Linked DNA regions of Neodiprion lecontei. The protein of the gene in region 2 purifies or fractionates together with the protein of the main gene of each other region. This does not show direct contact. Links are inferred from orthologs where the notes say so. Each region holds a gene or a part of one and is shown on either strand. Other genes may lie near its edges. The genes, in order: N-terminal kinase-like protein and protein transport protein Sec31A.

The links.
Region 1: the proteins of protein transport protein Sec31A (region 2) and N-terminal kinase-like protein purify together in Homo sapiens (affinity purification with mass spectrometry; 3 studies listed by BioGRID and IntAct, counting the BioPlex papers as one, with this or other methods). This does not show direct contact. The link is inferred for Neodiprion lecontei from reciprocal best matches to the Homo sapiens genes SEC31A and SCYL1.

What each region holds. Positions count from the first base shown.
Region 1 is NC_060266.1:76,896-81,900, forward strand, and holds the start of N-terminal kinase-like protein, read right to left. Parts: upstream 3,123-5,005; 5' UTR 2,865-3,122; coding exon 2,751-2,864; intron 2,008-2,750; coding exon 1,861-2,007; intron 1,780-1,860; coding exon 1,654-1,779; intron 1,296-1,653; coding exon 1,084-1,295; intron 591-1,083; coding exon 497-590; intron 405-496; coding exon 1-404. Other genes in the region: RAB6A-GEF complex partner protein 2, read left to right, coding at 3,613-3,734, 4,462-4,580, 4,659-4,766, 4,862-5,005. UniProt on the Homo sapiens protein: Regulates COPI-mediated retrograde protein traffic at the interface between the Golgi apparatus and the endoplasmic reticulum. Involved in the maintenance of the Golgi apparatus morphology.
Region 2 is NC_060260.1:31,677,727-31,682,945, forward strand, and holds the start of protein transport protein Sec31A, read right to left. Parts: upstream 3,015-5,219; 5' UTR 2,798-3,014; intron 2,666-2,797; exon of another isoform or gene 2,643-2,665; intron 2,275-2,642; 5' UTR 2,267-2,274; coding exon 2,064-2,266; intron 1,929-2,063; coding exon 1,606-1,928; intron 1,405-1,605; coding exon 1,307-1,404; intron 1,237-1,306; coding exon 991-1,236; intron 913-990; coding exon 619-912; intron 435-618; coding exon 87-434; intron 1-86. Other genes in the region: protein aveugle, read left to right, coding at 3,532-3,570, 3,668-3,781, 3,934-4,110. UniProt on the Homo sapiens protein: Component of the coat protein complex II (COPII) which promotes the formation of transport vesicles from the endoplasmic reticulum (ER).

The DNA.
Region 1 (5,005 bases), on a different chromosome or scaffold from region 2:
CGTGTCGCTCTGTCGTTTGATGCAAATAATTTCACGACACAGGGCACAACGCGACGCTGATACTCAGGATCGGGTAATTTACGGCCGAGTTGCAGTAGCGGTGGTAGAACCGCACTTCCAGCGTCTCCAAAATCAAATGCCGCCAGAAGTTGGGGTAAGATTTTATACCTTCCAACTCCATCGGGAAAACTTTCCAGCTTTGAGGCTAGTTGTGTGAAGAATCTACTTTTCTCACCCTTCTCTTTCATCTGGATTTCTTCCAAGAATAAGAGGGCGTCGACCAAGTCATTCTTAAAATATCCTCCGTTGCTTCTACACCTTGCTATCACATCGGCTGGATTGGGTCGTACGTCTGCATTGTGACTGGAGAGCTCTCGATACACAGCCAATAGTTGTTTGGGTATCTTAAAGAATTTAAATTAAAATCTAGATAGCAAAACATAGGTACAGTCTTGGATGTAATCTCATCAAAGCGGTACCTTGCGTTGATTTGTACCTGATTCGTTTTGGTCTTCAGATCAGCAGACCTGTTGAGCGGGCCATTGAATGCCTCCCATATGAGGCAGCCAAGTCCCCACGCGTCAATCGTGCTGCCATTTCAAGGATGTGATTTTAATGAGGTATTGAACAAACGTACTTGATATATTCAGGAAGCAGCACTAGAATCGTATCGTAAATATGATTGATCGGTGATTTATAAGGTGCTAGTGTACGGCATTTTCTTACTAGCATCTGCGTTCAATACCAAAGTGTACAGAAACGTGCGGAATAACTTGAAATATCCTGTACATCAGGTATACCTAAATAGTCATATCACACAATAGTCAAAAAATTTGGAAAATCGAACAAAGCTAATGAGAATCCCACAATATTGCATTGTAATTAAAATAAACACAATGTCATGTGCAAACTGGACCCTAGCTATACTGTAGTCCTTGTCCTGGTGGTGTCCCAAGTGATGGAAATTGTTATCTATCACCTACCGCCATCATCGGTACAATTTGCTTTGGTAAATACAGTAATTTGTTATATCGGTATTTCAATGTCTACCATAAAGACCGCATAACAAATAAGTTTCTATACCATTTTGATTGAGGTTTGTAGGTTTCTGTAGCTTCAGGAGGTTGGTAGACGCGCAGGGCCGCGGGCAAGGGAGTATAGTTTACCGTTACCCCTGTCGTGTACTCCACTCCCCCCAGCTTCCATTCGCCACTTTCCACATTTACGAAAACCGACCAGAGATTGATGTTGTTGTGTCTAAGATTGCCGTCGTTATTCAGAAAACTGAGAGCACGCTATTCAAACACAAATAAAATCATTATAGCCCCACGCTCTTCTTTTTGCCATACTTGGATCTTTTGATCAAGACACGTGAAACGTGAAAAAGTCTGGATCAACAACTCGTTTCGGCATGGCCTCGATGCTGGGACGTTACAATTTTTGTACTGCTATATCTTTCACTCCGTTAGTTACCAGTGATTCATTATTCTCAACAGACATAAGTTACAGTACTCTTTTTATAGATAAAATGTTAACAAGCACTTTGTATAAGCCTCATTATTATTTCAACAGTAGCTCAGGATATTCTACGCTCAATGCCCGATGACGGAAAGAGGTATAGACAATATAAAATCTCAAATTTCTTCAACTTACAGTGATTTGAAAAATCCCCCACGAAAGGTACAAGTCGCGCTGCTGCCCCTCGGGCAGATTGTTTCCATGCAGTCGCAACTGCAGTGGTTCGACTCTCTCTGTTGCCAGGTATATAGTCTTCTCTGTCTGTAAGAATACGGAGAAATTCAAGTAATCTGTGACAATGGATCAAGGATGACGTAGTGCCGTCTTGGCTTGATACCATACCTCAAGGTTATCGAGGTAGGTCAATATGCTAGGATGCCTGAGAGTCTTTAACCTTTTTACAGCTGCTCTGGCGGTTTCCAGATCTGCATCACCTCCATTTTTTGCCTGAATGACAAAAACAGAAACATCTTCGCCGACATTGGTTCCCTGTAAGAAGATGCATTGAATCACAACAAGAAATGCTACTGTGTTTGCATATGTCTACACATATACGAACTTCGCATATGCAGAGTCTGAGGGATATGAATTATCCTATTAAAAATCCTGATACATTTCGAGAAGATCCAACGGTTAGAAGCAACTACTTATATTACAACGCACTTGATCTTCTTGTTCGATATTGGAATAAGCTACCTGTAAGCACTCGCTCCTCAGACAATCTCGAATAGTTTAAACGAAAAAAGTAAGTTTAGTCTATAGTTATCATAAAAATCCATCAGTCTTCACCTCCCATTACATTTTTGTTCTTTCTATATGCATGTTATTGTACATTTATTGGCCGGTCTACCTATCCTGTTTTTGTTTTTGTTTTTGAATTCATATGTAAAAGGACATCGTATCCGTAAAATATATAAATAAATAATTAAAAGTAAATAACTCAAAAGGACCCAATCTATGTCAGACAAAGAACTACCACGGGCTGCCCGTGCTAAGCAAGACAGTGAAATAGCTAGCAGCATTGACGCTTCGAGAACACAAGCCGCAAGCTTTGTTACATGCAAGCACTGGGGTACATCGCCGGTTTCCTTTTGCACGCTGTCAGCCTAATTCCGACTTTATCCAACATAGTTCTGTACATAGTTCTGGACAGAGATCTGGTGCGGGATGATCTCGTGGTATTCGTCTGAAGTGCTGAAGGAACGTGGTTAGGTTATGTTAAATGAGGTTACCTTCCTCTTTGCTCTGTGAAGTGTCCACAAGCTCTTCCCCTCGAAACCGAAGACTGGCTCTCCAATCTCGTAAGGAAAATCTTTGGTAGGATCACGGGAGAAAAATGACCACATTCTTCGCTGTTACACAGCGCCCGTTATACCGTGGTGTTCGGCTTATAATACGTGTACGTGTACGCCGTTTTTATCCACTTTTTTTACTAAACTTCATAAAAACTGGTTTATTCATTTTGTTATCGTCACTATTTTGTCAGCCCTCTTGTCTCCAGCTTTTTGGTACCTACTGACGTGTGCGGATTGGTTGTAAAGTATTAAGTTTATGAGCTGGCATACATGTTGTGTGTACATACATATATCGGTGGCTCGCATAGGAGCGCACATACGTCATTTTTTTTAACACGAAGCGATCATGAAGCGATTCATCGATGTGCTCATCGGTAGGATCCAACGGAATTAACCAATGTCGGCCAGTTTCCAAGCTTTCCAAGGCAGCCGACATTGCCGCGTGTCTTGTCCTTAGACCGTCTCGTCGACTGGTCGATCTGTGCTGCTAACTGTCAGAAGATACATTCAAGAGGAATTTCGTTGCAGAAAAATTGCAAAGAGAAAACAGCTCTCGTCGCGGGGGCTTTATGTAAGGCTATTGTATGAATTGACATACATACGTGCTTCTTCTCATCTGAAGCATGATCTAAATTCTTCGACTTTCTCCATTTTCCTTCAGTATTGTACATCACGCATCAAGTCACATACACGTTATACATGTGTTATGCGTACGTTAACTAAACGGAACAATAATACACTCAGCTATATACAATCAACGCCTGTACGTCACTGATCGTTTCGTCTCAACTTGTTAAAGATGATCGATATCACGGCTAAATTAGTTAGAGGACCTGCATATTTTTCCGGCGAATTGATCGAGTGCTGTATCACCTTCGGCAACCCGACAAATCCTAATCATCAGATATCCCAAAGCCACAGGTTTGTACAGTGTGTTCGTAGAAGTCTGGGCATACCCCCAAAAACGCAGAACCCCCCAAAAATAGTATATCATGCAACTAGTGGGCAAGGCACGATACTGTGAGTGAGTGTGAAGTTCGGATATCATACTCACTCAAGGCTCTTCTTGCCCACGAGTTGAACGTAATATTTTTCCCAGTGAAAATGTAAAATTAGGCGATTGGCGGCCAATAAAACTGTATGACTAGGCTGTCGGTCGCATGTTGAAAATGAGCAAGGGACGTGATATCCCAATAAATTGACTGTTTTGGTAAAAAATTACAAGATACACGACGATTCCGCGACGGTGGGGTACAGGAGGCGAAGCCCGCCGATCGAGATGAAAATGTAGATTCAAAGAGAGAAGAAAAGAGAATCTTTTAAAAATTGAATGTTAATACAATCTCAAACTAGATTGAACTAAATGCACAAGCAAAAAGTTCAGTTTACTAGGACGCGAAAACATCACCTCAACTGAGGGAACTGACAGCGTGAATATAGACAAAGCACGCCACCGATGCGGAGCCTATATTTTGCTCTACGAGTGGACAAAAACGATATTTTTCCTCCAGTGGAATAATAGTTCGCCAATTGTCAACGCGCGCGTCATTAGTTGTGTAATAGCGTGTTTTTTTTATTTTCAGCATCCGGCCAAAATCGCCTATTTTTACATTTGAGTTGCGAAAACATCTTTTCCTTCTGCTTCCAGTGATGTGTTTGAAAGTCTGGCATGGGCAAGCGCACAGGTACACTGCCAATGTTCTACAAACGGTAAGGCGGTGCTGTCAGAGAGATTAAATTCTATCCAGTCGGCAGCTATAAATGCAGGTACTTCAAACAAGTAAACGAGTATGACAAACTGGATGAACTGGCCCGAAAACAGTCTCATTTGATATCGTCTTTTAGATACTACGTTCGCTCCTTGGCAGCAGGACAATGGACACGTTGTTTTGAATACAAAACCAAAGATATTGTTCTGTGATCTCAGACTGTCGCCAGGTGAAAGCGAGACTTGTATGTAATGTGTAATTCTCAATTCTCGCTTGGTATTCAATTGGTGGGGCTGTGTTTAGAAATGAGATAATTCAGTTACGGTCGTATATTTCTAGATGTATACCGGGAGAGAATACCGAGTGATGCACCCCCCTCGTACAGAGGCCAGGCAGTCAAATATTCTTATAAAATTACAATCGGCACACAGCGGGTGAATTCTGCCATAAAATTACTACGAGTTCCGTTTAGAGTCCTTTCGT
Region 2 (5,219 bases):
GTAACTTTCATCTGTTTATGAAAATATTTTATTCATTCAGCACTATGAACATTTTTCAGTTTGTGTCAAGATGGAAAAATACCTACATTATTTAATTTATTTAGTTCAGTGCTTGTTTCAGTTTGTTCTTCAGGTACAAACTTGCTGAGCTTTGTGTTAATCGATTGCGAATCATATCCTAATAATTCTAATATATCTCCAGTGATATTATCTCCAAAATGTGCACCCAAACAACTCCATACTTTACGATTATGATCACTAGTTGCAGTATCAGCTTTTCCTTTGCAGAAATCGCCAAACTGTCCGTTTTGGAGTGCAGCTTCTAAGTGATTTGATCGGTGAATTAATTCTGGATCAGTTATTACTTGTGATATAATGATTCGACCATTCGAATTAGGTGGGTCATTTTCGAATAATGTCAGTTTTCCACCAAACTGAAATTAAACAAATGTCTGTGTAATTGTCAAATTAAACATGGATATTAAAATTTAACACCCTACTGACTACATTTCATATCATCAAAAAGAGTTAAAATGTAAATTGTAAATCGGTAAAACTGAGTATAAGTTAGTTCAACGTACAGATTACACAATTATGTAAAGTACACAGATTACTCACACCAAACGAAGCTCCAACAGGCCTTTTTAGCCATTTAGGAGCTTTTTTCAGATCTACTGTTGATTCATTTTGCAGCAATGGCGGTGCTTGAGCAAAGGCATCCATTCCAGGAAACGAATCAGCAATCTTGTTCGAAGTTTCACTTGAAACTTGTTGCTGACCACCCAAGAGTGAGTAAACAACTGCATGGCCATCAAAACTACTGCCAGCTACTAATCCAGGATTGCGTGGACACCAAGAGACATCAAAGTTCCACTGATTTGTTTGTGCCAACTCACAAAGTACTTCTCCATTCTATGATTGAATGAACACTCATGACTAAATTCAATCAAAGTGTCAAAATATGGCATGCAAAGTTGTAGATAAACTTACAGTCGCCGTTGAGTTTGGGTTCCAACAAAGTATTCTATTGTCTTTGGCACAACTGACCAGAAGATCAGGGTCGTGTAGATTCCAAGCAATTGAAAGAACGCCTCGCTGATGAGCCGCTAAAGTTTTTAGGGGTGATGTGGCAAATCTGAGATCCCAAAGCTGAATTATCGGGCTCTGATCATCCTCTGATGCAAGGCATAACTGTGTTGCAACATCTGGATGCCACTGTACCACTTTCCACCGAACCTGAAGTTAAGATGAGTAATTGGTTGATAGTGTATGACAATTTGATTAACTTGAAAAAAACTAAACCTACCCTTGAGTTTGCATCATTCAGCTTGATTATTGGCTCATTTTTCCGTAGGTCCCAAATCACACATCTTTGAGAGAAAGTGGAAGCGAGAATGTGTTGCACTGAAATAGTAACACTCGATCTTATAATTATCATACTGTTTTCTACAAAAAATTTTGAAGTTAAATCAACAGTTTCAAGTCTGCAAATTACCAGTTTTGGAATTTGAATTGGCTGAGTCGAGTTTGGAAAGGGATTCGATTAATTATAAGTAAGTGAAAATTTACACCTGAGTTTATGATAATATAATTTATACCCTATACCTTGCTTGTTCCATGCAATATACTGGACATCTTCCAGAGGTTGACTTCGAGTTCCCGGAGTCATTGGAGTGTTGGTATTAACGAGATCCCATATGTAAATTTCACTTTCTGTGGCTCCTGTGGCCAATAAATTTGATTGGAAAGGATTAAAATCCATGGCTCGCACAGGACCAGTATGCTTGTCAGGGCTACTGAGGATGCAATCACTTTCATTGGCTAACATCTTAGCCGCTGAATAAATTTTTATAGTTCCATAATCACAACCGCCTACTATTATACCAGCAGGATTGTTGCCGAAAGATCCCCATATGATCTTGTGATACCTTGAAAACAAGAAACACTTTTAAATATCAGTAAGTATCTAAAAATTGAAACATAAGGGAAGATAAGGATAGCATAAATTTATATGGATTTTCAACAATAAGAATATGAAAGGAAGAAAATGATTCAAGGGTAACCTGTGATCACTAGATATCGAAGCTTTAAGATCCATGTCATAGCCGGGTTCTTGTAGATTAAGAGCATATAAATCCAAGCTGGCTGATGTGCTGAAGCTAGCATCTAACTGTTGAGCAGCGGTTCCTGCCGCTAGCAATATCGGATGTTGAGCAGGTGGAGACCACGCCACATTTACAGTGCGTAACAGTTCCTTCACTTTCATCTTGTATACTGATCACCGTAACGAATAAAAATATTAATTGTTTTAAATTAATGACTTTTAAAAAGTTACATAAGCAAATATATGTGTTACACTTCTGGAGATATAAGTACACAAATAATTATCAATAATACAACCAAACGGGTCATGATAGTCTGACTTGTACAACAGCAGACAGTGGTATCAAGTTTTTAATTACTCGGAGTACGAGTAATGAATTCTTAACAATAATTCAAAAATGAAAGATGCAATATTGCTACGCAAGAGATCTGATCAGCTACAGCATTGATGATAGAGCCGTACAGCAATGAATACTGGATGTATCGTTGCAAGATGAGATCACAAACCGTAAATATTTTCCTAATATAAAGTAATACACCTTATGAAAGGTCCAGTTGTCTGGTGGAGGACAGGATTTGATAGTCGACTGAAATGTCATACGGATTAATAAGAACTACCTGACATATGCAGTTAAGAACACAATCTGGGCATAAAATTGAAACGAATAATGATGTAAACAATCCTGTGGCTAACCTTGCTTTCGTTCCGCTCAGTATGAATAATCCTTATAAATATAATTTCGGTAACGTCAGGTAAATTTGATTCACCACCGTCAACACTTCCAACGTGGCGACTGCCGGACTGCCTGTAGTTCGTAGCGCGGCGTAGCAAAATTCAGCGGAAGGCTCCGGCTCGACAACCAGCCACGAAGTGTAGCCGGCTACGACTGGTCGCTACCGTTCGGTGGTAACTTGTGATAGCGCGGCTTCAAATTTAGTTCCTAAAAGCGACACCAGGTGGATCAGTCATATGTTTGTAAACTTTTGTAAACTTGCTCTGACTGTAAATGTCAGGCAGGCACTGAACTATGATACAATCTTACAATTAGAGCGTATAACAGTACAATCTACTGATTCGTATGAATATATTTTTTCAAAATATATCTGTACATTCGTGTGTGTATGATTTGAAGATGATGAAGTCTGATCTGCACAGCAATGAGTAATTAGCACGGGAAACAAACGAGCTCAATTTGATGGTGCAATTTTACTGAGTACACTGTGGTCAGTACAGTTTCCTCTGCAATTATCATGTATAATTCTATTTTTAGATTACGGCAAATATTGAGTCTAAATTGCCGTATTCTACATTTTCTGAAATTAAACGATTATTTTACAATTAACACCGTTATTAAAATAATTTCTGCTATCCCCCAGGTGATCTCGTTGCTGTAAACAATTATTGTTTCTAACCCTAAAATTTCAATAATGGTTGAGGAGAGCGTGAATTCTTATAACAAACCGAAAGTAAGAGTTACGTTGCATCCTTGGAATTACAAGTTATAATATTTTATTAAGTGTGAGAATGTTTTCACATGCCTTAAGTATTCTCTCTGTGATTCAGAATAAAACTGCGCGGCCCCGTCCAGTTTACTTGTGGAATGTCTTAGATGTACAGAAGTGGTTGCGGAGACACTGTAGCGATTACTATCAATTGTATCATGAAAAGTTTTTGTATGTAAGTGAGAGAATATGATAGCACGTAACGTCCGACTTATTGTATTATGTATGTAATTTTGACTTTAGGGAATAATTCATTGATTTCAAGCATATTATATTTGAATATAACAGATGCGGTCCTAATTCCTGTGTTGTTTTCTCTTTATACAGCATGATATAACTGGCAGAGCGCTTCTGAGGGTCAATGAGAACATTTTACTGCGATTGGGAATCGTGAATGAGGAACACAGATCGGATATATGGAGAGAAATTATGAAATTGCGATTAAAAACGGACATATTGGAGATTAGAGATATTGAACGTAGAAATAATACTAATTATGATTGATATTGAGATTGTGTCGACAATTACTATCATTAGAATTAATGTTTTTATCAGTCACTTTGTACCTTTCATTGAATATTCCCTCTTTCACTGATATTGTACATCTAGGGAATGAGCAAAGCGATCAATATTTCGATGGATGAAAAATCGTTTCACACTTTGAATACCGATTTCACCCATTTTCATGTACAAACTAACATATTAATTAGTAAAACATATTTTTGTACCTAGTTGTTTGATAAAAAGTTATTTTATTACTACCATTGATGAGTATTTTAACTAAAAATATTACCAGGGGATCGAAATGTAATTGAAACCACAAAAACTTACTGTTTTAGACATGTTCTTTAGAAAATTCTAAATGAAAACTGCGGCGCAATGAGCCTTAGTAAATAGGAAGTTACATATGCTTTATAAATGTACCAAGCATTATTCATATAATATGAAAGCTGTATTGATCATAGGCTGATTTTCAGATACTTGTTTGCCGATATTTTTAATAAATCAAAAATTGATGGTCAATGAGACTAAAAGTTTGTTATCCCTGTCCAGCAACGTAACACTAAGTGTAATTAAATGATCAGTAAATTATTTAGGCCAGAACAAAATATAGGCCAAGACAGCAGCACAAGTTAAAACGAAGTCTTCGGAGTCGCTTCATTAGTTGAAAAGGCTTGATCCATTCTTGCTCGAACCATTCTGCTTGACTATAAATAGTCAGCAAGGTATTGCACAGTAACAGACCGTAAGAATCTATGTAGTCCACGTCTCTACTAGCGCGGCTCGCACGCGTTAATACTCGCGAGTGAAAACGGAATTATTGTGTTTTATTTGTTCCAACAATAGAACTTCGCACAGGTTAAAGTTGGGCAAGTTGGTTCCACGCTACCAGCGATAAGTACGTTCCAGTTTTAATTTTAAAAACAGCTGCGATTCTTCCAAGCTTCAATAGGATTGTCGACCTACCAATCTATTGTTATACAATACCTATAGGTATGTATTTGCGGCGACGCGCGTGGTCTTATTTTCACGTATCTGAAAGCACGATGGTGGTTTTGCAATTTTCCAGCTTGTCGATGACTACTCCAAAGAAGGAAATGTTTAAAGAATTA